Alligator mississippiensis: one gene and its partners. The protein of the gene in region 2 interacts with the protein of the main gene of each other region in a biochemical or structural test. Links are inferred from orthologs where the notes say so. Each region holds a gene or a part of one and is shown on either strand. Other genes may lie near its edges. The genes, in order: MAP4K1, CRKL, BCAR1 and DOK1.

The links.
Region 1: the proteins of CRKL (region 2) and MAP4K1 form a complex in vitro, tested with the Homo sapiens proteins (2 studies listed by BioGRID). The link is inferred for Alligator mississippiensis from reciprocal best matches to the Homo sapiens genes CRKL and MAP4K1.
Region 3: the proteins of CRKL (region 2) and BCAR1 interact in a test that uses a peptide from one of them, tested with the Homo sapiens proteins (2 studies listed by BioGRID, with this or other methods). The link is inferred for Alligator mississippiensis from reciprocal best matches to the Homo sapiens genes CRKL and BCAR1.
Region 4: the proteins of CRKL (region 2) and DOK1 form a complex in vitro, tested with the Homo sapiens proteins (2 studies listed by BioGRID, with this or other methods). The link is inferred for Alligator mississippiensis from reciprocal best matches to the Homo sapiens genes CRKL and DOK1.

Annotation. Positions count from the first base shown.
Region 1 is NC_081838.1:1,988,796-1,996,134, forward strand, and holds the start of MAP4K1 (mitogen-activated protein kinase kinase kinase kinase 1), read right to left. Parts: upstream 3,001-7,339; 5' UTR 2,343-3,000; intron 1,916-2,342; 5' UTR 1,596-1,915; coding exon 1,488-1,595; intron 1-1,487. Other genes in the region: EIF3K (eukaryotic translation initiation factor 3 subunit K), read left to right, coding at 3,347-3,405, 3,523-3,621, 3,721-3,841, 4,033-4,107, 4,312-4,378, 4,994-5,071, 5,429-5,554, 5,743-5,774. UniProt on the Homo sapiens protein: Serine/threonine-protein kinase, which plays a role in the response to environmental stress. Appears to act upstream of the JUN N-terminal pathway.
Region 2 is NC_081833.1:18,949,724-18,957,092, forward strand, and holds the start of CRKL (crk-like protein), read right to left. Parts: upstream 3,003-7,369; 5' UTR 2,902-3,002; coding exon 2,588-2,901; intron 1-2,587. UniProt on the Homo sapiens protein: May mediate the transduction of intracellular signals.
Region 3 is NC_081833.1:41,203,364-41,211,005, forward strand, and holds the start of BCAR1 (breast cancer anti-estrogen resistance protein 1), read right to left. Parts: upstream 3,012-7,642; 5' UTR 2,890-3,011; coding exon 2,878-2,889; intron 1-2,877. UniProt on the Homo sapiens protein: Docking protein which plays a central coordinating role for tyrosine kinase-based signaling related to cell adhesion. Implicated in induction of cell migration and cell branching. Involved in the BCAR3-mediated inhibition of TGFB signaling.
Region 4 is NC_081825.1:325,311-333,213, forward strand, and holds the start of DOK1 (docking protein 1), read right to left. Parts: upstream 3,005-7,903; 5' UTR 2,939-3,004; coding exon 2,876-2,938; intron 2,559-2,875; coding exon 2,262-2,558; intron 1,867-2,261; coding exon 1,755-1,866; intron 1,552-1,754; coding exon 1,379-1,551; intron 763-1,378; coding exon 1-762. Other genes in the region: protein O-GlcNAcase, read left to right, coding at 7,024-7,271. UniProt on the Homo sapiens protein: DOK proteins are enzymatically inert adaptor or scaffolding proteins. They provide a docking platform for the assembly of multimolecular signaling complexes. DOK1 appears to be a negative regulator of the insulin signaling pathway.

The DNA of each region.
Region 1 (7,339 bases), on a different chromosome or scaffold from region 2:
GAGGATGCCCTGCCTGGGGGTCGTGGTGGGGCTGGGGCTAGAACCGGTGTGGGGTCAGGAGTGAGGGGCACCGGCATCAAGGGACAGGCCAATGTCACCTGTGACACTGACGGTCTTGCAAAGACCCGTGGTCCCGGTGCTCAGCCCCGGCTCCAGCCCCTGGGGCATTTCTGCTGGCAGCTGGGGCACCGGACCCTGTGCTGGAGCTGCTGGGAGGCAGGCGGGAGCACCTGCACCCGGGGCTGTGGTGCTACCGGCAGGCCCCCGGGGTTTCTCAGCAGGCACCAGGCTCCCTCCTCCCACGGCCCTGCCCCGTCAGCCTGCAAACCTCGGTGCCCAGCCTGTGCCCGCCTGTCCCACTGCCGCCCCAAACTGTTCTCAACCCTCCTCTGAAGCTGCCTCCCTTCCCAGATCTTGTGCATCTCCCCCGCAGAGGCACCCAGCTGCATTTCGGGGTCCCTGTGCAACCAGCTGCCCTGCCCCAGCTGCCCTGCCCCAGCCCAGAGGTGGCTGTCTTTCTAGACCAGCTGAATGAACAGCTTCCCTGCTCCACCCCAGAGCTGGGCGCATCTCAGCAGTGGGCAAAGGAGCCCCGCACAGCCCGCTGCCATGTTGCTCCCTCCAAGCCGCCATGTTTGAGGGGCACTGCGGGTCCCCGACGCTGTGGGCCAAGCGGCCTGACTCCAGCCGCGCTGGGCCCAGGGAAGCCTGACCCCTGCCCCCCAGCTGCCTTGACACGGTTTCCAGCGGGGCAGGCTGGGAGCCGAGTGGGTGTGAGCTGTGGTGCGTGGGGAGCTCGTGGCATTTCACACCCACTCCCTCCGGTGAAGATGACTGTGCACGGGGGGGGGGGAGGTGACAGGGACATCCGTTCCCACCCGCCGGGGCCCTGGGGACACCGTCCCCTTGACTCCGAGAGTCCACCCCAGCCGAGGGATCGGGCCCTACTCGCGCCCACGCTGTTTCCAGGGGGCTTCTGCTGATTTACGCCCACGGGGGTACGGAGGGAATCAGTGCCAATGCACTTCCTTCAGCAAGGCCCGAGCTGGGCCCTTCTCTTCTGCCCCTCCAAACCCAGGCGAGGGACCACGAGGGCTGTGCAAGGGGGCTGAGTCCAACGCCCGCAGCACCCTGGGCCCCGAGCACGACCCACAGCCGGCAGCAAGCACCTCCACACGCCTGGCTGCCCCAGGCAGGGGTGCAGGGGGTGCCAGCCCTGCTGACGCCTTCATCCCCAGCACTGTCCCGGGCAGGTGCAGGTCTTGGCCCCGCTCGGCCCTTTCCCCTCCTGCATCTGCTTTCGCCGCCGTGGCTCCCGGAGCTCCCTGCACCGCTTGCCCTCGCCCCACGTGGGCACGAAGGGTGACGTGTTCCCCCAGCACCCCAAAACCCTGGGGTCTCGGCAGGGTAGTGGAGACTCGTCCCCCACCCATGCGACGCTCGGCACCGCATGCAGGCAAGGGAGCGGGACGCATCCTCGGGCCTACCTTGTACACTTCCCCGTACGTCCCGCCGCCAACTCTCTGCAGCAGCTCGAAGTCGTCCTGGGGGTTCCTGGTGGAAATATCCAGTGCGGCTCGGTCCTGGGCATCCATGTCTGGGCGCCCGCCCGTGCGTGCAGCCTGCGGCGCCCTGCACCCAGGAGTGCGCGTGTGTGTGATCGGAGGGGCTGATAACGCTTGCTCGCTCGCTCGCTTTTATTTCCTGATTTGAGCAGCCGGGCGCAGCGGCGAGCCCAGGGGGCCCCCTAGACAGCACGTGGGAGCCCTGCAGCGCCGTGGCCCCGGGAGGCCGCTCCGCAGGGCCTCCCCGACGGCCCCAGGTGCGGGAGCGGCTGGCGTTGGCCCTCGTGCCCGTCCGTGTGCGCGAGCAGCACGCGTGTGGCGCCCGGCGCGGCTGTGACACCTCGCGGCGCCTGCGGGGAAACAAGGAGACGCCCTGCCATCACCTGCTCTGTCCCCGCTCGGGGGCAGGATGTCACGGCCGAGCGGCCCCCCCCAGCCCTGTCGGCGTGGGGGGGGGCAGGGACCCGGCGCCCGCCACCCAGCCACACCGGCAGCAAGGCAGTGGCAGGGAGGGAGGGGCGTTTATTAATTGAGTCCAGCGTTTATTTATTAATTGATCCTGGGATCGTTGCGCCCAGTCGGCGGAAGGGGCAAACTGAGGCACAAAGAGGGGGGGCTTCGAGCGGCAGCTCGGCAGGGCTGAGCTCTGACTCCTAGCCCCCCCCACCCCTGCTCCCTTTTTGCCGGACCCCCAGCCCCACGGCCCGCCCGAGATGGGAGGGGAGCCCCGCCCTGCTGGGACCACCGGATCCCTCGCAGGAGCCAATGAAAACGTACCTGGAGCGCTGCTCTCTGCTGCTGTTGCTGGGGTGGGGGGGGGAGTGGAGGGGATCAGTCCTGGAGGGGAGGGGGCACCAGGGGGGGCTGCCACCCTGAGGGGAGGGGGCAACTGGGGTCAGTTTTTGAGGGGAGGGGCATCTGGGGTGGGAGGGGGCACTTGAGGGGGTGTGGGGGGGCAGGCTGAGGGAGGGGGGCGGTTGGGGGGAGGGGGGCATGAGAGGTGGGAGGGGGCACTTGGTGGTGTGGGGGGGGCTGAGGGAGGGGGGCGGTTGGGGGGAGGGGGGCATGAGAGGGGGGAGGAGGCACTTGGGGGTGTGGGGGGGCAGGCTGAGGGAGGGGGGCGGTTGGGGGGAGGGGGGCATGAGAGGTGGGAGGGGGCACTTGGGGGTGTGGGGGGGCAGGCTGAGGGAGGGGGGCGGTTGGGGGGAGGGGGGCATGAGAGGGGGGAGGAGGCACTTGGGGGTGTGGGGGGGCAGGCTGAGGGAGGGGGGCGGTTGGGGGGAGGGGGGCATGAGAGGGGGGAGGAGGCACTTGGGGGTGTGGGGGGGCAGGCTGAGGGAGGGGGGCGGTTGGGGGGAGGGGGGCATGAGAGGGGGGAGGAGGCACTTGGGGGTGTGGGGGGGCAGGCTGAGGAAGGGGGGCGCTTGGGGGAGGGGGGCAGTTTTTGAGGGGAGGGGCATCTGGGGTGGGCGGGAGCACTTAGGAGGGGAGGGAGGGTCTGGTTGCTAAGGGTGGGTGTTGCCTAGCGACGGCAGCGGGCGGGGGAGCGTGGGCGTGGCCTGCCCGCCCAGGGGGCGGGGCCTAGCGGGGTATTTCACTGCGGGCGGGGCTTTCCTCCCTCCCCGGCCCCTCCTAGTGCGCACGCGTGTCACGCCGGCCCTCCCCGCCCCAGCATGCCCGGCGAGGCCCGACGCCGGAAGCGGAAGCTGCCGCGGCCGGAAGAGCCCGGCACCGCTTTGCTCCCGCTCGCGGCCCCGGAAGCCGCTGCCGCCGCGCGCGCCATGGCGCTGTTCGAGCAGATGCGGGCCAACGTGGGCAAGCTGCTCAAGGGCATCGACCGGTGAGGCGGCGGCGGCGGCGCGGGGCGGGGCGGGTGGGGGTAGAGCTGCCTGGCTGGGCCGGCGGGCGGGGCGGGGCGGGGGGAGTCGTGCTCAGCCGCTGCCGCCTTGTGCCCCAGGTACAACCCGGAGAACCTGGCCACGCTGGAGCGCTACGTGGAGACGCAGGCCAAGGAGAACGCCTACGACCTGGAGGCCAACCTGGCCGTGCTCAAGCTGTGAGCGTCGTCTCCCCTGCCACACCCTGCTTTTGGGGGCGGCGGGGGGGCACCACGCGAATCCCCCCCCCATACTAACACGTGCACCCTCCTCCTCAGGTACCAGTTCAATCCAGCATTCTTCCAGACCACCGTCACCGCTCAGATCCTGCTCAAGGCGCTGACCAACCTCCCGCACACGGACTTCACCCTCTGCAAGTGCATGATCGACCAGGCTCACGTATCCTTTTATTTCCCCGGGTCAGAAGCAGCGTGTGGCTGCCCGCTGGCCGTGGGAGGGCTCGGAGGGGTCTCCCTGCTGCTGTGGGCGTGACACTTGGCCTCCCTCGAGCCTTGCGGCTTCTTCCTCCGCCCGGGGGTGAACTCGGGGGTCTGCGTTTGCTGTTTTCCCCCTTGACCCGCTCGTCGCAGCAAGAAGAGAGGCCGATCAGGCAGATCCTCTACCTGGGGGAGCTGCTGGAGACCTGCCACTTCCAGGCCTTTTGGGTGAGCGTTGTCCTGCCCTTCTGGTGCCCTGAGCCCGGGGAGCCTCCGCAGCGTGAGCGTGCGCCCTCCCTGCCCCCGTGCCTCCTTGGCGGCACCCCTGTAGCCGCTGCGTTGTGAGCTCGTGGCCTCGGGTCAGGAAGCGTCCGTCTCTGTCTCGGTGTTTGCTAACCGACGCGAATGCACGGTTCTTCCTTTGTTTTGCAGCAAGCCCTGGATGAGAACATGGAGCTGCTGGACGGGATCACTGGCTTTGAGGACTCTGTTAGGAAATGTGAGTGGCTGCTGTCCCCTCTGCTCTGTTGCACGATCCCCTTTGGGCAGACTCAGACTCAGGTCCAGGTCCCGTCTCCGGCTGTGACAGGCTCCTGCTGTGTCCCTTGCTGCCCTCGGTGCTCTGCCAAGTTGTGGGTGTCTGTCTCGAGTCAGCGGGAGCACGTGCTCCTCCTTCCCCCAACACCAGTCAGCGACCAGGGGGTGCCTCACAAGCGACCTGACTCTCATCATAAAAGCAGCCATGCTACTGACAGTCCTGCTCCCCAGGCAGCACTTGTAGGGGAGGCACTGGTGCTCTTGCCTGCCCGCTGGCTAAACGGGGAGTGCAGCCTGACCGGGAGGGGGGCGGGGGGTGCACCTCCTACGCGTTGCCCCTGTGCCAAGTAGTGTGAATTCCCTGCAGCAAGGATCCTCTTCGTGTCTGGCACATCCGGACGGCGATAGAGACCTGGAAATGTGTTGTCCTCCCTTGAGCCAGCAGCCGCTGAGCCCCGGAGCACGTGTGGGGGCAGCAGGGCACAGCAGAGGGGTTCAACAGCTTGTTGTGCATCGGGGGATTGGGGCACGCCTGAACATGTGCCAGTAGCACCAAGTGTCCGTGTTCCTTCCACAGTCATCTGCCACGTGGTGGGGATCACCTACCAGCACGTTGATCGGTGGTTGCTGGCGGAGATGCTGGGAGACCTCTCAGGTAAGTTCCCCAAAGGGAAGCCAGACCCCTCTCAGAAATGAGCCCCTCGCCCTACATCCAAAGTGGATCAAGGGAGTCTGTGAGCTGTACTGCTACTGGTGTGACTCCAGGCTGTTTGGGTTGGGTTTTGGGAATGCTGTCCCAGCTACAGGGGTCCTGGGGCCCTTATTGCATGCGCTGCTGAGCTTAGTCACCCTACTTGCTCTCCACTGGCAGTCTTAGGGCAGACTTGGTGCTTTATCACTTCCCTTGAAGATCTACTCTGTCTTGGCACCCCCTGCTTAAACACATGTGCCTTCGTACCTCGCCTTCCCTGTGCCAAACTACCATTGGCTCATTCCCTTGGCTTCTCTACAGACAGCCAGCTCAAGGTCTGGATGAGCAAATATGGCTGGACAGAAACTGAGCCTGGCAAGGTCTTCATCTGCAACCAGGAGGAGAGCGTCAAACCCAAGAACATTGTAGAGAAAATAGACTTTGACAGTAAGCGCCGAGGCCCCACTGGTACTGAGGATGGGGACAGGGGTGTGGATCTGGCTGGAGTGAGTTGTCCACAGAGGTCAAGGTCCTGCCTTGGCCCATGGGCATCTTCCCTGGGCTGAATTCTTGTGGACTGGAGCACATGGAGTCACTGTTCTGGAGTTTAATTTGTTTGTCCTCCCTTCTTTCAGGTGTCTCCAGCATCATGGCATCTTCCTTGTGATGCCCCTGTTGCCCACTACCATCTGTGCTGCTTGTGAGAACCTGCTCTGGGTCTATTTCTTATTTAATTCCTTTTTAAATTTTAATCCAGCCCTGGCCAATAAATGTTTGGAGAGATCTTTTCTTGTTTCCTCTCAGGGGTGGGAGGATGGGGGAGCCCCAGCTCTGGGTAAGGCTCCTGGGGGGTGGGAGTGCTGTTGGGCTGGAACTGGCATGTTGCCCAAGACAGACTCTCTCCTCTGGACAGTTGCTGGCTGGATTGAGGGTCCACCCTCCCACCCCCAGCCACGAATTGGAGGAATAATGACCTCCTCTTTCTGCCGCGGAGCACGAACACTTTGCCCAGCTAGGGAAAGAACCCGGGACTCCTGGGGTGAGGTAACCAGCCCCACACTAATAAGCCTAAGTAGGACTCCTGGCAGCTGGTCCTGCTGTCATTACTCTTCTGACCGCCAGGTGGTGGTAGGTGGCCAATAAATAAGAACCAGCCTGTTGCTGACCTGATCATGCTTCCCCTTGTGGGGAGGGCCTGAGCCACCGCAGCCGGCCTGTGGTCATGGTGCTGCTCTGGGGGTTGCCCCCTGAGGCCTCTTTGGGGCAGCAGCTGCCCAGTACGGGGACCCTGGAGGGAGTCTCTGCCTGAGAATTGCTATTCAAAGGCCTTAAGGGAAAGCAGGGCTTCTGGGTTCCATGGCTGAGTCAGAAATGGGCACCCTGGGATTCACAGCACCGCTCCTGCATGGACCTGGATCTTGCTGCTGGCCAGGAATTGTGTACCAGGCATGGATATTTGTGGGGGATCTCTCATCAGACCAACTTTGTGGGGTGGTTAGGTGATCCTTTTGCAGGCAGGGTATTCTTCCTCAAGGCCCCACGAGAGCAGCTCTGTGCCCTGTGCTGGGGAGAGGGGAAGAGGCCTACACTGTTGCTCTTTGCCTGGGAGCCGCCACATCTTTGCTTTGCGGCATCGGGTTCTCTCTGTGCTGAGTTGCAGCTGCCATGCATGTCTCTGGCTCTTTCAGTGCCCTCAGCAGGCTGTGGCAGAGCTGGCCTCCATCCCACTGGCCCTTGAGCTACCTGGGAGACCCTGAGGGTCTCTATGTGGTTCTGCATGGTAGAAAACTGGGGGAAAACCCTGTGGTGCTGAGCTGCCTGCTGCTTGCCTCCCTTTTTTGGGGATGTTTGCTCTAGGTTGGGGCTTCTGAACCCAGAGCAGTGTGCGGCCCCTCAACCCCGTCTCCTGCACCCCAACTCCTTACTGAGCTGCTGTCATTCAGGCCAGCACTTTGGGCAGACCTTGCCTTTCCATTTTACCACCTCTGGTGCAGGTGGGGTGGGGATTAGAAGTGCCTCACACCCTTTTGTTGCATCCTGGGAGCCCCCTCATTATAAACAGTGGCTTCCAGCCAGTGGCTAAATATATACATCGCAGGAATGTTCAGCATCTCGCAGGCAGGAAGCGGGAGAGCATAACCCCTGCTCCTTTGTGGAGCAGAGAGAAAAACAAATGCTGGGAGGGGGGGTGGCGGGAGAGAAGAAAAATGCTGATACGATTTGAGAGTGGAG
Region 2 (7,369 bases):
GTGAGCACAGTATGCAGCACGCAGGGTCATCCTGCAATACCCGACGTGCTGCCTGTGGGTGACTGAGATCCATGGGCAGCATCAGGGGCTGGATAATACGGCTCTGTGGGCTGGATTTTGACCATAGTCCATATTTTGGACATATCCTCCACCCCCGATTTACAGCACATTCATTCACTTACTATCCATCTTCATATTCACTTTTTCTGAGAATAATTCACAATTACAACTCACCAAAATGCCTCTTCAGTACTTTGCCCACCACTAGTCCAACATGACTTGCGGTAATTACTTGGGAAGTACAAATGTAAATGAGACAGAATTTACCAGTGAGAGTTAAACAACATGGTAAGAAACCCTGTGGCTGGTACTTTAGTGCCTTTGTATTTGCATCTTCACTTCTCTTATACTCGCATAAAAAGTACAAATCTAGTTACCATGAAAAATATATTACATAGCGGACAATTTTAATGCTGGCTGAAAGTGAAGAGCAACCAAAAGAGGGCATGGAGGCTGTTGCCATGATGGACAAACTCTTGGCCAATTCAAAATAAGGTTACCGATATATAGATGATTCTGAAATGTTTACTGAAGTATAGTGTCAGCTCTCGTAAAGAAAAATGCTACTGTACATCAAATGTTCACTCACTATACAAACAAGCAGTTCTGCGTTATGCATAATGCCCTTTTCTACCCAACCAAGGTCTTGGAGGGAGTAACTTCACTGAAGAGAAGAGCCAGTGGATAACGTATTCTTTAATATTACATCTTGACCTCTTCCTTCCAGAATGTGGCCTCTTTTTAGGAAGACTTTACACCCTAATGAAGTCACTGAATTTCTAATCTTTAGTACAAAAATTCATAGTAAAGATTTAGACAGCTTTGGGTACAGTATGATTTTTCTTGTAATGAGTCCAAACTGCAGTATTGCAATAGTTACAGGAAGCTCAGCAGTTCAACATAACTGACAACCCAACTCTTTTTGTAGGAAGAGGGATTTATTTCTATGGTACTTTTGCCTGCATATTAATATAATTGAAGCAAATCCACCCATGCATAATTTGAGACCTCCAAACAGATACCAGATGCACATTTGTCTGGATCAAGTCTAATAGGATCAAAATAGCAAATGGGTTAAAAGAAAACCCAGTCACAGAACAGCACCCAACCAGCAACTGAAAGCAAGTAAAGACTGCAAAGGAGCGTCACCAACGAGCCACATTCCTCCACTGACAAACTTGTACAGAAATGCTGGACATCTCCATCCAACTGCTCCTGCAGCTGTGTAGGAGCATCAGTGAACGTCCAGCCCAGGCATCTTCCTGCCAAAGCACAATCGTTACCTATACACCATTTTTTCAAAGTTTTAAGGAATGACATTTCTACCACATTCCTTGGAGAACTGCTTCCTTGCTTGCTATCTCGACCAAGAAGCTTTTCTTGACAGCTCCAAGCTTTCCTCCTTCTTCAGGCACTTATTCTTTTGGACAAGAATATTTGACCCTTAGTAATTAAAGGCAAAGCTAAATCTGGCTCCAAATCTGATCAAGAATCAATTTAGGTGAATAGGAAGGAGTAGAAGTCATGAGCAGATGCAAGCAGTGAGAATTTTAAACTGCTCAAATAGAGGAAGGAAGCCAAAACCCCATTTTAAAAAAGCAGCACTTGGCCTATCAATATTTGCTTCTATGTTCCCTTATGATTCAGCTGTACGGGTCTGTACTGGATGCAAAGAGCTGGGAACTGCCTCACACATCAGGGCAAGCACTAGCTGACCAGTCACACTAGCACAGCTGGGGCAGGGGTCACATCAACATGGGTCAGCACCAGTTGCAAACGCCACCCTCCCCATACAAGAAATCAAACTTTTCCAGCCCTAAGCCGCAGGCAGGGGGATGCACATGTTCAGATACAGAGCCCTTCCACACCACAGGGTCAGATGGACAACGGCAGGTCCTTCAACCCCCCACCATAGGGAGGCTCGGCTTTAAACGCATGGAAAATACAGTCCTAAAAAACAGGCCAAGGACCATGAAGCCACCACCTAGAGCAGCTCTGCCAGGTAGGGTTGCCAACCCTCCGGGACTGCCTTGCACGCTCCAGGAATTAAGATATAGTCTCCAGGAGACTGCGGAGAGTCACCTGGGGGGGCGATAAATGATAAGGCATTCATTAACATAAACATTAAAATGTTGAATCCGACTTATGCAGCAGTCCAGTGGGTTTTTAAAACGTAAGTTGGTAAAATGCGCCTTCCCGAGTACAGCAGATCAGTCATGAATGTCATTACATCATGTGATGAGTCAAGCAGGGCTGCCCACCGCACTGCCAGGGCTTAAAACCGCCCCAAAAGGCACAGGCAGGAGAGGGCCGCAGCAGGGGGAAGCCGGCGGTGCCTGGGCCGGGCCCATGAGCAAGAGGCAGCACCCAGGCCCCGGGCGGACCCGCTTCCAGCGCCGGCCACGCCCTCCCCGCGGCCGCAGCGGGCCGGGCCGGGCCCATGGCAGCGCGGCGCCGCCTCACCTGGGCGCACCTGGACGGCGGCGCGGAGGGGCCATGCGGGGCGGGGCGGGGCGGGGGTCCGTACCTGGGCGCGGGCTCGATGAGCGTGGTGGTGTCCAGGTAGTGGATCTTGTAGAAGTCGAGCAGCGCGGGCAGGTGCTCGAACTCCTGGTCGCCGATCTTGAAGCGGCGGTTGGGCAGCGAGTTGATGATGTAGTGCGAGACGCGCGAGTTCTCGGACACGGACAGCACGTAGTCGCCGGGGCAGGTGGACGAGTCCCGCACCAGGAACATGCCGTGGCGCTGCCCCTGCAGCCGCGTCTGCGCCTCAGCCCGCGACACGGGCCCCACGTACCAGCTCGAGCGGTCCGCCGAGTCGAAGCGCGCGGCGGACGACATGGCGGAGGCGGCGGCACTCACAGGCCAGGCCGAGGGGCGAGTGCGGCTGGGCGGGCCGGCGGGTGGGCCCCTGCGTCTCCCTTAGCGGCGGGGCGTGCGCGGCATCCTCCCCTCCCCTTCCTCTCCCTTCCCGCCCCTTCCTCTCCCTTCCCGCCTCGCGCTCCGGCTGCTGCGCGCGCCGAGAGCCGGGCCGGGCCGAAGGGCGCTGCTGGTGCCGGCTCCGGGGCGGGCTGCTGCTTTATCCCGGCGCTCGCTGTCCCCGGAGCCAAGCGCCAAAATGGCGCCTTTCGTGGCCGGGGGGAGGAGGCGCTGCCCCGCCCCGCGCACGCGCCCTCCGCGGCCCCCGGCCCCTCCCCGCGCCAAGCGCGGGGTGCGGAGGCCGGGCCGGATCCCCCTCGCCGGACACCGTGAGGCGCTGCGGCCCGCGCCCCGCGCCCCCCTCCCCCCGCAGGGCGCGGCGCGGCCGGGCGCGGCCCGGGGCCATGTGGCGGGGCAGCCCCGGCCGGCGGCCATCTTGTCCGCGGACCCTCTGGCTGGGTGTCCGCTTTCCCGGGCCGGCAGCACTCGTGGGGGCTGGGGCGGACCGGCCTCCCGGGGAGGGTTGCCGATACCCTAGGAGGGGCCGGCCCCAGGAGCTGCGCGGGGAGGGAGGGACGGGGTGTCCGTAGGGCGGCCATCGTAGAGGACTCTCCGGTTGTCTGCTCCTATGTTGATACGAAACCCGATGCCTTTATGTGCCCTGTTTTTAGGCCTTCGCTTCAAGAGAAAAAGAGAGGAGACATAAAGGCATCCGGTTCTGTAGCAATAGAGGACAACCGGACTGTCGTCTGTGATGGCCACCCTACCCCCACATCGCCTGGGGGCCCAGGGTTGGGTGGCGGACGCTGGCGGACCCACGGCTGTTAGGGTCACGTAGCATGAGCGCGCGGCAATGGGGCCTGGAGCCTGGGCACGAGAAACCAGCCGTGGTAAAAGCTGGTAGCTTGCGCCCTCCCGGGCAGCGAGAGGCCCAGTCGCTGCCCTCTGCTTTGTCGTGGCCCAGAACGTCGCCGCACCCACATGCCTCGGTGGGTTCGAAACCGCCAGACCAGGAAGCCCACCCTGAATTTGGGGGCTGTGTAGTGATTTTTCTGGAGTCCGACTCACGTTTCCTTCAACTTGTGGGGTTGGCGCCCTGGCCGCAAAGAAACACGGCACTGAAATGTCAAACGGCTCTTCGCATTAAGAACTGGACTGAAGACAAATAACCTTTCGTTACTAATTGGACCCTGTTCAGGGTTCGTTCCAGCTTGAATACCGCATCTTTCTTTCCCTTGTACCCTGTTGCTGCTGATTGTGCTCCTATGTTTGGCAAGTTTCCCAACGTATTTTGCTCTTTCTATGGCAACTGGTGTAAAGCCTAAATATTGTAAGTTGGAAAATAGGGGCTGTAATTTTATAGCACTTTAACATGGGCCTAACAAAGAAAAACTTAACAAAACAGGAACTTATTTTTAAAACCTTAAATTATCCAAGAAACAGCTGCACACAACAGCCACGCTGATAGCAGGGGTCACAATTTTTCTGGCAAAATTAGGTAAAATTATGCTAGTTACTTACAGTATAACTGTTAACTCATAAATAGTCCAGCAGGAATCCAAATCTTATTACTGAAACTTTCATAACTGTCTAATTCATGTAAGGTGGAAATTGCATCAAATCCAGAACCTCATTTCAACTAGAGTATCCATACCAGCCTTGGTATAAAAGGCTCCCAAAGACCCCCCCCCTAATTTTACATGTACAGGTATCACCGTGTCAACCACTAAAATACAGTCATCTCGCAGGAGGAAAATGACATCTGTAACAGCCTACAGTAATATGTACTAACTACATTGATTAGGCCCAGGTGTGAAGAATACCAATTACAGCTTCATATCATTACAGCTTCATATCTATGCCATAGCTCTCTTGGAAAAGATGCCTAATAATTTTGCCTTGGGTTCAACTCCTATTAAGAGTTCACAACTCTAGTTGATTAGATTGTGAAATTCATAAAATTGCCTTTCACCAATTGAAACATGGGCTTCAGTCATGTCTCAGTGTAATTATGGCTGAAATAGGAAACTTGAGAAAGCATTTTCACTTTATAATATTTTAGTTAAAAGCATTGTTGCTGTATTAGTGCTTCTAAAATACTTGATAAAAAGCATTATACACACAACTCTATTACAAGCATTATGAAATTAAACCTCATCACTGAAGTAGGCAAGTATTATAATCTCGGTTTTACCAAAGGGAAAACTTGAGGTAGAGAGAGTGGATATGTCTAAGGCTACAGTGATTAAGTGGCAGAATCAGGGACAGTTAAAAAACAACAGTGAAGAAGTTAGTGTTAATTTCTTACTAATTCATCTTTCACTTTCTAATAAACCAGATCATAGCAAAGGGATGTGATAAGCTAGTTCAAGATTCTATTCCAGTTTTGTCTGGACTCTCTTTAGTTAGTAAAGCAACTAAAATGTCAAGAGTAAGCAATATTTTATTAGAAAACATATGTTGGTCTAGTTGTAATATCTTTGCTCTGGATAGGTAGCGTGGGAACCAATCTGGAATTTTGTGCTGTATGGAACTGAACTACTTCCTACCTTGCTTTCTTGAGTGAGAATGAAAGAACATCATCTCTTAGACAGAGAAGGATCCAAAAATTCTAGTCCAGAAGGGACTACTGCAAACCTGCATTTTTTACTTCCTGCATACACACAGGCTGCTGGACTTCTGTGAAGTAATTCCTGTTTCTAGTTAAACAGCTGTAGCTGAATTAGATCCTGGTTTAAACTAGACCCAGTCATGACTTGCTGACAATCACATAACCGGTGAGCTGGGAGTGACAACAGGACAGGAGAGGATGGAATTCTTTATTTTGTTTTGGTAGTGAACATTCAAAATCCTTTGATTGAAAATAAAGATGATGAAAACGGATAAACCAATTTTGAAAGTTGGATTTTTTGGTGATGGGTTGTTTTGGAAAAGGGAAATGGCAGGAGAAGCAGTTCTGGAACAAAAGCGGAGGCAGAAATAAGCATTTTTCTCTTCCAAATGTGAAACCCTGAAAAAGTTCAGTAAACAAGTTCACTAAAATTTGTGCAAATCCAGCAAAAATCCAAACAGCAGGCTGCAAACTGTGTTAAACAGCTATGGCTTCAGCCAAAGTACTGTATAATGTTATGTTGCATACTTGAACATAATAGGGAATCTTAACATTGGACCTTTGCACCCTGATGGTTATGGCAATACTTTCAGTACAAATACCAGTGGGCTGTGGGCTTGGTACCTCTCTGATTTAAAAGACAGTTTAGAAATGTCAAGTACCTTTTTGTTATAGCAATGCAAATAGAATGAGGAAATCTGAAAAGATTGTTTTCATAGAAGCAGTTTAGCTTGTGTAATATCAAGGGTCCCAACTACTGTATGCACCATGCTTTTCTCACAATCTTTAAAAATGCTTTTACTAAGTCATCTCTTCACTTCTTGAACCTTGTCATTGGCTTCCTCTTCCTGCATTAGGTTTGACCTCCTTATCCTCACCTTCAAGATATGATCTGGTTCTTACCCACATCTGTGCTTTTTTCACTCGCTTCACTGCTGCCTTCATACTTTTCATCCAACTCTGGGCTTGAAGCATTCTGTCATACCATTTCCTGCATCTGAACCAGATTGTCTTCCTTTTTTCAACAGCAATACCCAGTTCTGCCCCCTTCAAATCTCTCTTCAGTGACTCCCTTCTTTCCCATCTCAAACTATTACTTTTATATCATCCCTGTTCTAAATCCACTGCCTCCATTTTGAGGAAAGCACATTGTAGCACACCCTGGGTTTGGGCTCTCTTAACTGTAACATTTTCTAAGGGTTTAAAAGGTGCTTTGTGCTAAATGGAGCTGTGTGTCAGGATTGTAAATGCATAGGAACAATCACCTCTCTAATTCTGTATTTTCACTCTGCAGTTAGGGGTAAGTGAAGCCCTGTCCTTAGCATTTAGAGCTTGAAGCCTGACTTTATGTTCTTGCTGTCATTACAGTTATTGCAGCAGAAGTGGATTTCCTGACATTTTGAGATGTCCTTAGTAAATAAGTAGAAAAGAATATATGGGTTCAATGATGAGACTTCTGCATATTGAACATCATTACTGTTCTGGGGACAACATTACAGGAAATTAGATAAACAATTGAATAAACTCAATTATTGACCTTCCCAATATATCAGTAAGATGAACTTTTCAGTGTTTAATTACTTGATCTGACCAGAATAAAATACTTATACTTTATTGGTCTGAACATTTAAGCTCTTCCACAGGTTTGTTTTCCGATTTCTAGAAACGTTTGTACTATGCCATTGTCACCCAGAACTCCCTGAAAAGTAAAAACACAAGGCTGACATATTCAGGAAATCATAGGAATTAAAATAACTGAAAACTGGGTTAAAACAAATA
Region 3 (7,642 bases), about 22 Mb from region 2:
AAGTGCCATGAGATCCTTTTCAGGGTGCCAGGAAGTGCCCACACTATCAGCCATGTTAGCTGTGCAAACACCTACACAAGATAAACCTAGTGACTTCAAATAGGAATTCATAGTGCCGAAAACATTCCGACCTGCTGTGCTCTTTCTGAGTGCTTTGCAACAGAAGAACTGCTCTATTATTTTTCTGTAGTCAAAAAAAAGAGAGACAGCTAAGAGCTGGCATTTTCCAAGTCTAACAAAGTTGAAAACCAGTGCTCCACTTCCAGGGTCCTGTGGTTTGCAAAGATGGCCTGACTGGTCACCCAGGAGCACCATGACAAGGGGTATGAATCTGGTGCTGCACCAACACGAGAATTTCCAATGGACAGAAGGAGAAAAGTGATTTGCAAGCTCCTGGCAAGCCAACTGCCCTTATGCTGGCTCTCTTGCACCCTGAAGCAATGTTTCAGGAGGTTTTTAATGCCAGAAATGATCCTTTCCTCAAGCTGCCCCATTGGCACTGTATGTTGTAATCACACATGAAAAAATCTCTCCCTTCCCCCAGCCCTATACTGTACTCACACAGCAAGATTTGCCAGGCCTGGCAATTGCTGATTATCTCCTAGTGAATCATTAACGTTGTACTCTACACTGCTGCTGGAGCCAGCCGGCTTGCTGACGTGCACTGAGAGGACGTTCATGCTCTCACACGCACCACTGGATGTGCCAATGACTCCCAGCTCCCCCTCCCCTCCCTGTTTTACAACAGCCGCCTTCTAAAACCATCAAATTATAGAAGAGTGTGGAGAAGCAATGGCAAATACCACCTTAAGGAGGGCAACACAGTGGCATCACCTTGCATGGGACTTTTGCCTGGCATCAAGCAGACTGCCACTCAGCCCACTTTATGGTGTTTCAGCTTTCACAGTACAGTTTGGATAATAAAACTCTCCTAGTGCCCAGACTTCCAACCTCTGCCTCTGACCCAAGCCCTGGCCTGGCCTGTTCCACTGCTGGCCCTTGACTCCCAAATGTCATGATACCTGATCCTAGGCTCTGGCCTTGGGTTCATTTTATTTCCATTCCCCTTCACCCTATCACCATTTGAACAGTGGATAATTCTGAACAGAACTGGTCTCACCTCCAAGCTGTCACTTAACCATGAAAAACACAGGGCGATTTAAAAAGGAGACTGGCCCTGAGCCAGCAATCCTGTTAGCAAGCTTGCCTCTAGTTATGCTACAGTCTCTGACCACTGCCCCATCATGGAAGGAGAGGAACTAGAGGCTGGAAAGAGAGCCTAGCAGCCCTGTGGGCCCAGATATCCAGACCCATGTGCTGCTAAGCATAGTCACTTGCACCTGGGATCAGCAAGAGGGCATGGGAATGCCTGCACGAAACTCCTCCTTGCTTTGGTGACTGCCACAGGGCAGCTGTAGCTCAATGATATCATCCTGTGGATGGTGGGAAGCAGGAAAAGAAGATGGGCAAGGTTCCTCCAGGAAACAGAAATATCCCAGCAGGGTGGGAGAAGGAAACCGCACATATTGTCCCCTGTTCTAATTGCAGCAAGTCTCATTCTCAGATGGGGTCAAGGTTGTGGTAAGAAAATTGCTGCTTGGGAGTTAGGGCAGGCCCTGGAAGTTGGCCTCTTTGCCAATGGCTTCTTGCATGACTTTGGGTAGCAAAACTGCTTGCAAGGACATGGGGGACATGCAGGTATGAACTGGCTGTGTAACCTTCTGAGTATGTGTTACTGGTCAGAGCAGGTCTGGGAAGTTGCTTGTCAAGCTTTTGCAGGCCAAGATGGCAACTGTCATCTCAGTAAATCACTGCAAGAACCTGGCACGAAGGGGCTAAATGGAGAAGTTAACCTGGGGGGGAAAGCAAGGGTCCAACCATAAAAGAGGAGGACGACCTGGGGGAGGAATAGACCCCAAGGCCTCTGATTTAAAACAAGCTAATTCTCCACATCATGGCTTCAATCTTCTCCTTCATCCAGGTAATTACCCCCTCCAGCCACCACATCCAGATGCCTAGGAGGTGCATACATATGGTGTTAGATTGAGAGCCTGGAGTCTTATTTTCTGCACAGCCTCCCGGCAGGGACAACAGCAGCAAGCATGCCCCTGAATGCCTTGCTGCCAACATCCACGCACAGAGCAGTGCAGCACTCTGCTGGCCCCAAACGAACGCAACTGCAACATGCGTCTGCCTGATGCGGGGGAGAAGGAGTTGGGCCCCAGCCTCCCACTAGCTGAGGTGCCCGATTAGCACCGACGCCACTGGTGGGTTTTACTCCAGGCACATCTGTCCTCCGAGAACTGGGCTACGATTCTGCAAACTTGTCACTCAAAGGTCCTTAAGCAGCTACAGAACTGCAACAGCTTTAGGTCCCCAAAACCGCTGGGCGTTTAGTCCTTTTCTGCCTCAGCTTTGCTGCAACCACAGCGCCGTTTCTCCAGAGCTTCACATTCAAATATAAACCAGTGGATAAGCCAGGGAGCCTGCGCTGGCAGCACGGCAGACTCGGCAGCTGCCCTTCACTCCCCTGCAGGGAAGATCCCCGCGCCGCTGCCTAGGAGCCGCCGCGGCCGGGAGGCCGAAGCCGGGGGCCAGCGCGGGCTGCGTGCGGCGGGGGGCACCGGGGGAGGCTGCCCGCGCCGAGGCCGGGGAGGCAGCCGGCGCGGGGCCCGTGCTGTCACCCCCGGGCGGGGGAGCCCGGCCCTGCTGCAGCCGGAGCGCCCGGGCCGTCCACACGGGACCCGCGGCCTCCCGCCTGCTCCAGCCGCCGCCGACCCCGGAGACCCGCTATTGTCTGCGCCCGGCCCGGGGCGCCCCAGGAAGGTCCTCGGGACAGCGCGGGGGGCAGAGCCGGGGGGGTGGGGGGGCACTCACCAGGTAGTTCATCTTCCCCGCAGGCCGGGCCGGGCGCCGATCCGGGAAGGGCCCGCCCGGCCGGGAGGAAAGTTGGTCGCGGTGGCGGTGGCTGCCCCGGTCCCCGCCCCGGCCGCGCGGCCCCACCGCAGCCCGCCCCGCCCAGCTCAGCTCGGGAGCCGCAGCCGCCGCAGCCGAGCGCTCCCCGCGCGGCGCCGGGACTGGCGGGCTGGGCCGGGCCGGCACCGCGCAGCTCGCCCGCCGTGCCCGCCTCCCCGCGCCCATTGGCTGCGGTGCGCGGGGGCGGGGCGGGGCCGGGCCGGGCCGGGCCGGGCCAGGCGCTGCGCACACGTGTGATGAGGTTTGGTGGTCTCTGTTTGCACAAGCGTGGGACGGGTGGTGCTGCTAGTGCACAGGCGTGTGGAGGAGGCATGGGCGTGACGGAGCTGCCCTTGGCACGTGCACACGCGCGTGTCCTGGGCTGTGTAGTGCATGCACGCGAGCGTGTGTGGGACGGCTGCGCAGTCCGCCTGTGCACGCGTGTGTGCCGGGGCTGTGCAATCTGTATGCACACGTGGCGCGTGTGAAGGGGCCGTGCCATCTGCACGTGTACATGTGTATACTAAATCGTGCAGTAAGTGCATGCACTTGTGTGTGGCAGGGCTGTGTGACTGTGTGCACATGTGTGTGACAGGCTGTGCAATGCGCATGTTACACGTGTGAGGGGACTGCAGTCTGCATGCGCACATGTATATGACATGCGCTATGCAGTCTGTGTGTGCGTGTGACAGAGGTGACAATGAAGGTTGTGTGCTTGTGTGGCAGCAAGGTCCTTGCAAGGCAGAGTGGAATATGCTGTCTGTGTGCTTGGATAGTCACAGATTCACAGAAAAACAGGGTTGTAAAGGACCTCAGGAGATCAGCTACTGTCCAAACTCCTACTCAAGGCTGGATCCTCCCTGTCTCTACCATCCCCGAAGAATGTTTGTTTAATGTGCATTAAAAAACTTCTAGTGATGGAGACATGATGACCTGTCTCTAGGGAATCTGTTTCAATGCCAAACCCCACTCAGAGTTAGAAAGTTCTTCTGTCTACCGTGAATCTCATATTTAAGCCCTACAGAGCAACCTTTTATTGTACTGAAGGACTGTCATCCAATCTTTCTTTTTGTCTTCTCATCCCTAGAATAAATTATCTCAAATTTCCACACTGTTTTCATGTCACATTTTTAGACCTCTAATCTTTTCTTGCCTCTCCTTTGGAATCTTTCAAATTCATTCACATCTTTCTTAACGGGTGGTGACCAAAACCGGACAGAGTACATCAGGTGAGATCCCTGGAGTGCTGAATAGAGTGGAAGACTCACTTTCCATGACTTGCATGTGACAGTAATAAAAGTTACTAGCTTTTTTCTCAACAATATTACACCACCGATTCACAGTCATCTTGCAGTCTACTATAATCTCTACATCCTTTCTGCAGTATTTCAGCCTTGCCAGTCATTCTCCATTTTCCCTGTGTGCATTGATTGTTTCTTCCTAGGGCCCCTGCTACACATTAGTATATTATACAATTAGCTGGTTAATCACACAATAAATATTGACAGGCCACATGTGCAAAGTAAGATTGGCCACTAGTGCAAAGTAATTGTCACAGAATTAACTGGTTAATTGTGCAATAAACTTAGACCAGCTATGCATGCAAAAGTAATTATCACATGATAAAAATTACTATCCAGCTATAAAGTTAGCGCTTGAATATGTGGTGCAACTCTATAGCTGGTTTCTATCCAGCTTCAACTTGAATATGTAGCAGGGCCCTAAGTGTAGTATTTTGCACGTGTTCTTTCTACAGTTCCTCTTATTTATTTTAGACCATTTCTCCAATATACAAAAGGTCATTTTGAATCCTAATCTTGTCATCTAAAGTGTCTGCTACATCACACAACTTGGTGTCACCCACAGATTTACTAACTGCATATTCAGTTCCATCCTCCAAGATATCGATGAAGATATATTTAATAGTGGACTGAAGAAAAGGTGAAGAATCCCATGTGATAACTCTTCCCAATTGACATGGAGCCATAACTACCCTTTAAGCATAATTAGCCAACCGGTTATGAGCCCACCCTAAAGAGTTTTATTTATGTTATCTGTCCTTAACTTACTTATGAGAATGTCATAGGAAACAGTGTGAAAAGCCTTATATAGTCCACATAGAAGTCTCTTTGTGGCAAAGACAACAACAGTCCCGTAGAGGGGAAGAGAGACCCATAGCACAAGGGAGCAGGGATTGGCACCCTGTGGCAGCAGCCAGATTACAAGGGGTAGCCTGCTGCTCTAAAAGGTTGCCAACCCCTTCTTCTTTTTTCATATGACATTTTAGGATTACAACATTCAAAGATTAATATCTAAATTTGATAACCATTCAACTGCTTCAGGTGTAGTTGCATGGATTGATTTTAGATCTCCATTAAATGATCTAATTGGGCAATCATTCACAATGCGTTGCATCATCTGAAAAATTGCACCACAATAACAACTTGGAGTCTCTTTGATTCTCCATTTATGGAGTAGGTGCCCACGTTTTCCATGAAGTGTCCAGATGTTATTCAGGGAGGACCAAATCTTTCTTAGTAGGTCAAATTCTGACTGGGGAAGTGTAGGATCACAGATGATGTTTTTCTGTGGCAAGCTGGTATTTACCCAGGCTTCCCTTCATTGTTCTTTGGTGCTCTTGTTATCATTATAGAGCTTGGTGTATTTCTATTTCTCAGAAGGGTTTTCTAGATTTGAGCCTATCTGGTGGTGGCATAGTGATGTCCTTGTTGATTAGGAAGTTTGGGTTACCGGTGGCCTTATGGTATTCCCTCATGCATGTGGCATTGTGGCGGAACTGTGGGGAAGCAATGTTTGCTAGGACTGGAAGCCATGGCAATGGCATACTTTTTAGCATTCCTGATATAATCCTCATAGCTGCATTTAACTGTGTATCAACAATTTTTGTGTGCACACTTTTGTTTATTCTGCTGCAAAGAAAACAAGTGCCAGAGTGCCCATTTGAAGCATGGTTGTATTTGCTCCCCACGTCGTTCCGGCCAGTTTATGCACAAGCTTAACTCATGGCTTTCACTTTTTTAGCAACATTCCATAGAAGTTCACAAAAGGTGAGGCTCCAATTGAAAGTTAAGGTATTTTGGGAACTTCTCATGCTTAACCTCTTCTCCACAGAAAGTGATGGCAAGTTTCTGGTCAGTGTGGGCATTGTTTAGATGAAATGACATGACGACAGTTTTCCTTGGATTTGGGTGGAGTCTCCAACATGCGCAATATTCTTCAAGCAATTTGAGGTCTTTGCAAAGATCTGCCTGGACTTCAGCCTGAGTCCTTCTTTGAGTAGCAAGCAGCAGGTCATCAGCATAGCCGAATTTCCAGCTGGTGGTAACAGGAAGATCACTTATGTATACATTAAAAAGTTCTGGTGCAAGCTCTGATCCTTGTGGGAGACCACTATTTAGTAGACAGGTTCTTTTGACAGTGCTCCCTAGATGGACGTGATATTGCTGGTTAGACAGGAGTGTTGATAAAAGACAGAGTACCTGCTGGCACCTGATGACCCTTGACGCCTTCAGGAGGAGGCCATCTTGCCATAAGCTGCTGATAAATCAATGAAGGCAGCTCCCGTGATCTCTTTGCACTGGTACCTGGCTTCAATATATGTAATGAGTGCCAGCAATTGGTTGCTAGTGCTGTGTCCAGGGTGAAAGTCAACCAGTTCAGCTGGTATAACCTTGAAGATGAAAAACATGTAAACCAGTAGCATTTTTTCAAGAAGTTTATATATTGTACAAAGCAGGGATATAGGGCGGAAGTTTTTTGGGTCCATGGTTGATTTTCTGGGTTTTGGAATAGCAATGACCTTTGCTTGTTACTGTATCTTGGGAATTTTGCTTGTGGCTATTATGTTGGAGAAGAGTCTGGCCAACCAACAGCCTCCTTTTTGGCCAAGATGTTTCAAGAACTCGGGGTAGATCCCATCTAATCCTGCAGCCTTCCATGATCTGGTAGCTCTTAGGGCTTCAATGACCTCTTCTTCAGTGAAGGGAGATGACTGGGCTGTTTTTGTTGTACTCTACACTACGTCATTGATTGATGGAGTCAAGCCCTTACTTGCTGTCTAGTCTGGTGATCTGTAATGGTCTTTCTATCCAGCAGCTTTTTTGAGGGGATGGCATTTACGGATATATTGATGATCTTATTTGTTGGTTGTGGTGCTGCTTCTGGTGTCTCAGGAGGCTCCAAGCTTTATGGCTTGAGTGTGTGAAGTCTATTGACTCCATTGCTTTGGTCCATCTGTCTTCTGGATTCATTCAGCAAGTTCAAGAGAGCTTTGCCACATTCCGGGTTTCCTGAGTCCGAGAATTCCTGGAACAGAGATTTGCATTGTTCAGGCCACCATGGAGTGTACTCCACCCAGTAATGCTTGGGGATGTATGATCAGGCCACTTTGAGCACAAGCTTGGTAAAGTACTCACAATTTTCAGGTTTTGGTGGAATCTGAGAAACAGTGCGCTCAATATCCTCAGTAAAAAGTTCCCAATTAGCCTTTCTGAAGTTATATTGTAGCATGGGAATGGACATTATTGTTGGAATTTCAATCCCTATGTGTATCAGGACTGGCCTGTGCTGGCTGTTCAGGAAATCATTTAATACCAGCCAACCCCTGCTTAGGTACTTATAAATCATTTTTTTTCATGTTATGTTATCTCTTCCTGGGGATCAAAGT
Region 4 (7,903 bases), on a different chromosome or scaffold from region 2:
GGGCGGCACCGAGTAGTCGGAGTTGGGGTTGTAGGGGAACTCGTAGCCATCCCGGTCGTCCAGGCCCTGCGTGCGCCAGGCCTCGCCCAGCAGCCGTGCCTCATCGTAGATGCAGATGGTGTCGGGCAGAGGTCGTGGCGCCCGCCCCTCGGGTTCGTCATAGATGTGCTCCTTGCAGCGTGGGGCCGGCCCTAGCCCTGAGCCTGGCCCCGGCCCCGGCGCGCTACCCACAGCCCCCAGTTTGCTGTCAATGGGGTCTGAGTACAGTGGGTCCAGCCAGAGCCGCGGGCCCTTCACCGAGTCCAGGGGCTCCGAGTACAGGCTGGACATGTCCTCGGAGGGCAGCACAGGCCGGGGCACCTTGGGCAGCGGGGAGCGCGGGGGTGTGCTGGTAGGCGCAGGCTTGCTCTGCGGCATCGGGGGCTCCGGGAGGCTCCGGGTCTTCAGCAGGCTCAGGGCGTCCCTCTCCTCTGGAGCGGCGCTGAGCCGGGGAGCCAGCCCGGCCTTGGGGCCTGCAGGGCTGTCGCCCTCGGCTGGGAGGTCGAGGCTGAGCGAGTCGGCCAGGGTGCTGCGGATCTGCATGACACTGGGGCAGTCCGCATCCAGCGAGTCGCAGCTCTGCCGGTGCTCCTCCGCCAGCGTCTTCTGCTCCCGGATGGACGCCTCCACCAGACGGAAGATCTCGTTCCCCTGCTTGGTCTCGAAAGTGAAGTTCCCGGGGCCGGAGCTGCAGCGCCGCCCAGCTTCAAAGGAGAACATCACCTGCCGGGCAGGTCAGCTCAGGTCAGAGTCCCGCTCTGCTGCCGGCTGACCCCTGGCGCCCAGCAGAGCCACCTGCAGAGGGGCAGCACCAAGCCGCCCACCCACAGAGAGGCCTGAGTGCACACAGGTGCCTGCAAGGCAGCTCGGCCCCCGCCCACCCTCCGCCAGCTGCTCCAGCCCCTCGCCGGGGCGCAGACCCGCCTCTGCCTGGTTCCGGCCAAGGCAGGAGGAAGCAGACAGGCTGCATCACTGCTGCTGCTATAAACAGCTTCCCTCCCAGACCACTTCCTCCCACCCAGTCAGGGTCCATAGGGTGGGAAAGGGCCACGCAGCACACAGGGTCTGGCTGCACCACAGCTGGGAATGATGGAGGGGGCAGCAGGTGTGAGGAGACCGTGCGCTGCCAGCGGACATGGCAGGGGTCACGTGGACAGGCGGGGGCCCTGGCACAAGGCCTTGGCAACACCTTGTTAGGGAAGCATGTGCAGCACGGGCCAGGAGATGGACACTGAGGGGGCAAGTGCAGAGGAGTAGCCAGGCCCGGTGGGCTTGGTTCATCAGTCTATTAACCTCCTCTCTCACTCCGGGGTATCCCAAACCTTGCCCCGCAACCCACCTTGTCACGCCCATATCTCCGGAGCAGCCGGTAGGGCCACACGTAGAGCGTCTCCTTCGTCTGGGGGTCGCGGAGCGCCAGGCCGTCGCGCTCTGCCCGCAGCTGGTAGGTCCCGTACAGCCCACAGCGCTCGGCCGCCTCCGTCCTCTGCACTGTCACCCAGAAGCTGTTCACTGTGAAAGGGGGAGCCGGGGCAGTCACGGGGCCTGGCAGGGCTGGCGACCCCAGCGCTGCGCAGAGGGGCACAGCCAGCGTCCGAAGGATGCCCCGAGGCGGGCACGGGGGCCTGAGCCCAGGCACGGCCCAGGGCGGGGGGCGATGCCCCAGGTTGGGGGGCTCTGCCCTCGCAGGACCCTGTCAAGCAGCCCAGCCCTACCTTCGTCCCGTGAGTAGTAGATGGAATTCACGGCCATCTCCAGGGCAGGCGCTGCGGCGCTGCCCTCCGCGCTGCGCCCGCCCGGCAGCCGGCCCTCGCCGCCCGCATTGCCCTGCCGAGCAAGCGAGACGGACCTCAGCACCCGACGCCAGGGGCCTGCCAGCTCCAGGGCTCCCCATGCCCCCCACACACCCCCACCCCGAGAGCATGGGTGGGCCGTGGCCCCGGCTCCCCACGGGCCTGGCCGGGACCAGCTCAGAGCGAGGGCTGCCGGCAGACGGGGATGCCCTCCTCGCTCCCCATGCCCCAGCCTGGCAGGAGGGGGCGGGCGCCTCCGGACCAACCGCAAGCAGAACTGAAAGCGTGAGCCGGGAGCCACGTGGGATGATGCTGCGCCACAGGCAGCGGCAGGCGGGTCGGCTGTCGTGGAAGGGCAGGGGCGCAGCAGTGGCAGTGCTGGCCCCAGCGCGGCCACGTGGCCGTGGGCCCGGCACCCCCCGTGCTCACCCCGAAGGCGATCTCGCACAGCTTCCCCACCCACTCGGCGCTCTGCTGCTTCTGGGCGGCGAAGAGGTAGCTGCGGTCGCTGGTCTCCAGGCAGAAGGTGGCCGTGCCATCCTTGGGGCCGCTCTCGCTGGCGGGCGCCACGCTCACGCAGTCGGCCAGACGCACGATCTTCTTGTCCAGCCGCTTGGTGCCCGGCTTCTCGCTCGGCGCCGCCGGGTCCTTGCAGTCGAAGAACTCGAGGCGCGCCACGCCGTGCTGGCTGGCCGGGTACAGCACGAACCAGCTCTTCTTCCAGCGCTGTGCCACGCGACACCGCAAGGCTCAGGCTCAGACCCGGACCCTGCACCGGGACCCGCACGGCCTCCCCCCGCCCGCGCCGGGAAGAGGAAACGGCTCTTCCGCTCGGCCCGGACCCGCTTCCCCAAGCCAGGGGGGGGCCCACCCGGGACACGTGGCGGAGCCCCCGGCCCAGCGCGGGCGGGAAGGGGGCGGCGGGAGGAGGGCGCCCGGCCCCGGCCCCGGCTCCGGCCCCGGCCCCGGCCCCGGTCCCGGTCCGGTGGGGGGGCGGGGCCGGGCGCGGGCGCGACCCCGGGGGGTGTGGGGGGGGCGCTGACCTTGGCCCCGAACTTGAGGCTGTGCTGCACGTAGAGCTGCCCCTCCTTGGCCGGGGGGTCCATCCCAACGCCGCCGCCGCCGCCGCCGCGCCGCGCTTCCTGCTCCCGGGCCGCGCCTCGGGGCGGGGCGGGGCCTGGGCGGGACGGGGCGGGGCGGGGCGGTCGGGGGCGGGGCCTGGGCTCGCGCGCGTGCGAGGGGCGTGCACACGCGCACGGCCACGCCCGCCCTGTTGCGCCGGGCTCCCACGGGGGCTGCACACGCACACGCCCCCCCGGGCGGGTCCCGGTCCCGGTCCCGGTCCCGGTCCCGCAGCCGGGCGCGGCGCGGGGATGTCGGCGCGGCCGGGCCCGCTGTGCGGGGTGGTGGAAGGTAGGCCGGGCCGAGCCGAGCCGGGCCGGGCCGGGGGGGCCGCCGCCGCGCCGCGCTGGGGCAGGCAGGCACGCGGGGATCCCGCTGCTCAGACCGGTGCGCACGGGGGGTTCCCCTCCCCCCGGCCCAGCCCGGCCCGCTGCAGCCCCCCCCCCCCCGGCAGCAGCAGGACGCTGGCGGCCGCGGCCCCCGCACCCCGGAGCGATGCCGGGCGCCGTGTCGGGGGCGTCTGTGTCTGCGTGTGCTGGAGCCGGGCGCGGGGCCGGGCGCGCAGACAAACCGGCGCTGGCTTGCGTGACCCCGCGGCGGGAAGGCGCGTGGGGCCGGGCCGGGCCGGGCCGGGCCGGGGAAACTCTGGCAGAGCGCCGGCTCCGCCGCGGACCATCCCGCCGCAGAGAGCGAGGGACACGGACTCCCCCGGCAGGGCCTGGGCCCGGTGGCACGGGCGCTGCGGGGCGCAGGTCTCGGGCCGGGCCGGGCCGGGCCGGGCACCAGCCCCAGGAGCCGCGCGGGGCCGGAGAAGCCGCGTGTGGGCGGGGCGGGGCGGGGCGGGGGGGGGCGCGGACACGCAGGCCTCTGCAGGGCCCGGTCCGGGAAGGGGGCGAGCGATCTCCGGGGCTTCTCCTCGGGCCCGTGGCTCCAGGGCAGCTGGTGCAGGTGCATGGTTGCAAGGTGCCTGGGACCATCCAGGCTTGGAGAGCCCCACGCGTCCTTCCCCGCTGTGCGCCTGGCCTGGGCCCAAGCCCCTGCCACCGCCGGTGAGGGCCCGGGGCTCGTGCGCCCAGCCGCGCCGGACCTTGGACGGCTGCGCAGGGGCTGACAGCACCCCGGAGGACGCAGGGCGGGGGGCGTCGGCCGTGCCAGGTGTCAGCGGTGGCGGCCGGCTCCGAGCCCTCGCGGCGCCGGGTCAGTGTGAGCCACGTGCACGCCCGTGCGGAGCAGAGAGGCGGCCCCGGCGTCCAGGGCGGCCGCGGCCGCGGCCCGGGTGCGCTCGGGGCCGGTGGAGGCTCCCGGAGGAAAGGAGCCGTCGCCATGGAGACCCAGCTCCTCCGAAACAGGCTGGCAGGGAGCCCGGGAGAGCCGCGCCACGCTCTGCCGACACCCCAGCCGCCCCCGCGTGTCTGCCTGGGCATGGAGCCCGCCCTCCTACGTGACACCGTCCCCGGTGCCCCAGAGCACCCGCCGGGAGCACGGGGCGCGAGCCCCTGGCAGGTGGGGTGGGGGGTGCGAGATGCATCATTGCACAGAGCCGCGTGCCTTTCTCATTAACCAAGAGCGCTTTGCTGTCGTGCCGGGCCCAGCGCTGCGCGATCCAGCTTGAGAGCAAAGCCAAACCAAATAGGACTTTGCTGGAGCGAGTGAGAAAGAGTGGCGGGGCTGCGCACAGGAACGGCAGAGACTATGCTGCTGGGGCGCCAGGGCTGCTAGAAAGGAGACAGGGTGGTTAGCACCCGGGGGGCGAAGGGTTTAGCAGGGAGATGATGGTGAGCTGTGAAGTCTCAGCCCGGGCTGGGTTTCCACTGGGGGTGGAGCAGGAAACGAAGGTGCAGCCCTGCACCCGTCCCTGCCTAACGCCACGGCAGGGGCCAGGTTTCAGGTGCACACGGGACAGTGGCTGACACCGGGGCTGGGCCCGGGGCCTTGTCCCTTTGCTTCCCCTTCTCCCCTGAAGAGGTGGGCAGGGGTGGTGTCCGACCCAGTGCCGGGGTTCCCGGGGCCTGGTGGGCGCAGGGCAAGGGGCTGCATGCGCGGGGGGCGGATGCCGCTGGGTGCTGGGAAGAGCGTCGCTTGGCCAGGCAGCGTATTCACACAAAGTGCCACTAAAGGGCAGCAGAGAGGCAGGCGCAGAGCTCTGCTGTGTACCAGTGGCCTGTTGCACCTGTGTGTGTGTGGGAGTGAGGAGCAATGCAACATGGGATGCCTGTAGGACGGACTGGACCCACGTCCTGTGACACCTGATGTCCACACATCACGTGGACCCAGTTGGCAGTGAACCCGTTCAGAAGAGCATTCGGTTTTCCAGGCATGCTTTTGAACCATTCCAGGTGGATTTAAACCAGATTAACAGGCTTGTCCACTTTGGGTTTAAAGCAGTCCTGGTGCCACGTGTGTCCATGCCCGGGGCTCCTCAGTGCCACGTGGTGGTGCCCTCGGCCGCCAGCCACGTGCCTCACCAGATGGCTTCCGGCACAGCCTGCGGCCATGGGAGGGGCAGCGCCGGGACAGCAGCCGCGGGCAGGGGAGCTGTGTGCGGGGCTTGCATGTGCCCGCGTCCAACTCCTGTCCTCTGTCTCGCTTCGCAGGCTTCTATGGGAGACCGTGGTCCATGGAGCAGAGAAAGCTTCTCTTCCAATGGCAAGTCCCTGCGCGCCGGCGTGGAGGCCCTGGTCCGTGCGCTCCGTCGAGAGGCCGCAGGAGCCTGCGCAGCGGCAGCAGCAGATGCCATCTCCCGTGCAGCTCTGACGGGTGCTCGAGCTACCTGTTGCTGCGTGTGTCCATTCACCCTCCCTCCCTCCGGGGTTCGCCACCACAAGCGTGGCACTGGGCGAAAGGGCACAGCGCTCCGTTCCAAATCCTCCCTGGTTCCCCCGCTACATCCTCTCTCTCTGGGCAGCCGTGCCCAGCTCCCCCCAGCTGCGTGGGTGTGGGCAAGGCACCGGCCTGGGCCCAGGAGAACCAAGGGGGTCCCTTACAGTGTGGGCTGAGGGGCAGAGCAGTTTGGGGGCCAGATGGCCAGGTGTGCATCCAGCTCAGTCGTATGTCGGAAGTGAAGCATCCCACCATGGTGCCTTCACTGGCTCGGGTGGTGCCAAGGGTCTAGGGTTTCCCGGGGTGAGCATGGGTGGTGGAGCTGGGAGCCCCACTGGGCCTGGACCCTGCAGCACGCCAACATGGAAACCTGTGAGATGCTGCCTCCACACTCAGGGCTCCAACCTCGTCGCTGGCCCACGTTCCCAGCCAGACGTGGCCTCTGCCGGAGCATGCAGTCCTGGTGCCAGCACCCGGGGCTGGGCCCTGGACACAGGAATGGCCACGGTGGAGTCACTAGTCGCTCAGCCTGCTGGGTCTCTGGTGCTGGGACAGCAGGGAGCAGGAGGGGCCACGCTGTGCCACACAGGCCGTGCCGGGAGCCACCCCTGGTGGGGCACATGGCTGATGGCTGTTGGCACCACCACGTGGCACCGTGGAGAGCGCAGGAGGCAATGGGAGCAGGAGCATAAGGGAGCTGATGGAGTTGAGGCTGAGGCCCACAACATCAGGGTGGGCTGCGGAGGGGTTCGATGGGCCGGGAGCCCCCAGGGCGGGGGGCAGGTGTCCTGCCTGGTGAGAGCCTGGCCAGGGCAGGCCTCACTGGAGAGGGGAAGCCGCCCTCAAGCACAGGCCCCCGAGAGCTGTGGGTGCAGCGGGGTCCCATGGCACCATCAGCCCCAGGTCCTGGTCCCCACAGCGCTCAGCAGGGGGCGGTGGTGCGCTGCAGCTGTGGGGGGTGATGACGGCCACGCTGCAGACGTGGGGGGCTGCTCACCAGAGATGGGGTGATCCTGGTCACTGCAGGGGGGTGCTGCAGTAGCTTTGGGAGGGGCATGGGGATGGCAGCCACGGTGTGACCAGGCGATGAACACCTCCCTGGGAGGCCCAAGCCAGAGGGTACTGGCCAGCCCCCCTCACCTCTGGGACCATGGCCGGATGCTGAGCCCGGGCTGGGGTCTGCCATGGAGAGCAGGTGCTCCAGGGGGATGGGGTGGGGGCCCCTGGGACAGGTCTGCCCACCTGCCACATGCCAGGCCCCAGGTTTTGCGCTGAATCTACAGGGGCGGGTCCGTGGCGTCCTGACGGCAACGTGGGGAGGGCTGTGCCAGTGCCCGGAGGCCAAGGCAGGGCAAAGCCACCGCTGGAGCTGGCCCCCAACCTGAGGGCCCCGCCGCCTGCCTTTGCTGGCCGGCGAGAGTCCCATGCCACGGACGCGCTCCTGCTGGTGTTGTCCAGCGAGGATCTGATCTGTCCTCACCACAGCAGCCCGCGGAGGTGGGCAGAGCAACGAGCATGAGGGGCATTGGGGCCCAGAGATACCTCCTCCAGGGCCCAGGCTGCTGGCTGGGCCTGCCTCGTGTGCACACACACATAAGTGTGCACATGTGTGCGCTGGGGGTTGCACCCAGGCAAGCGGTGCCTCTGGAAAGGAGTCAGGGTTGCTGCAGACACTGCCGGGTACATGGGAGCAGGAGTGGAGGGAGGGAGACAGGCCAGAGGCGAGTGCAGCCTCTGGATCAGGACCACGGCTGGGTTGCGCTTGGTCAGGGCAGGCAGAGAACGGCCCCTGGCCGACCCGAGCCCCTGCCAGGATGGGCACAAGCCTGCCCCTGCCCTGCTCCCGCCTGGCAGCGCGTGGGGCTGTGGCCCCAGCGTGTCCCCAGCTGCTGCCTGCGGGCACATCTCAGTGAGGGTCTGCCCGGGCTCCGCAGATGGATGCTGGCACCGGCCCCGGGCAGCGACGGGATGGTGTGGCGAGGCCCAGCTGTGCAGCACCGCATGCAGCGCCAGTCAGGTTGGCATGGCCAGTCATCGTGTCCGGCACGCTGGGTCATCCCCACACAGGTCCTGAGCCCGGTGGGGCTGGACCGGTGCTGTGGGCTCAGAGGCTCTGTGCAGTCATTGTC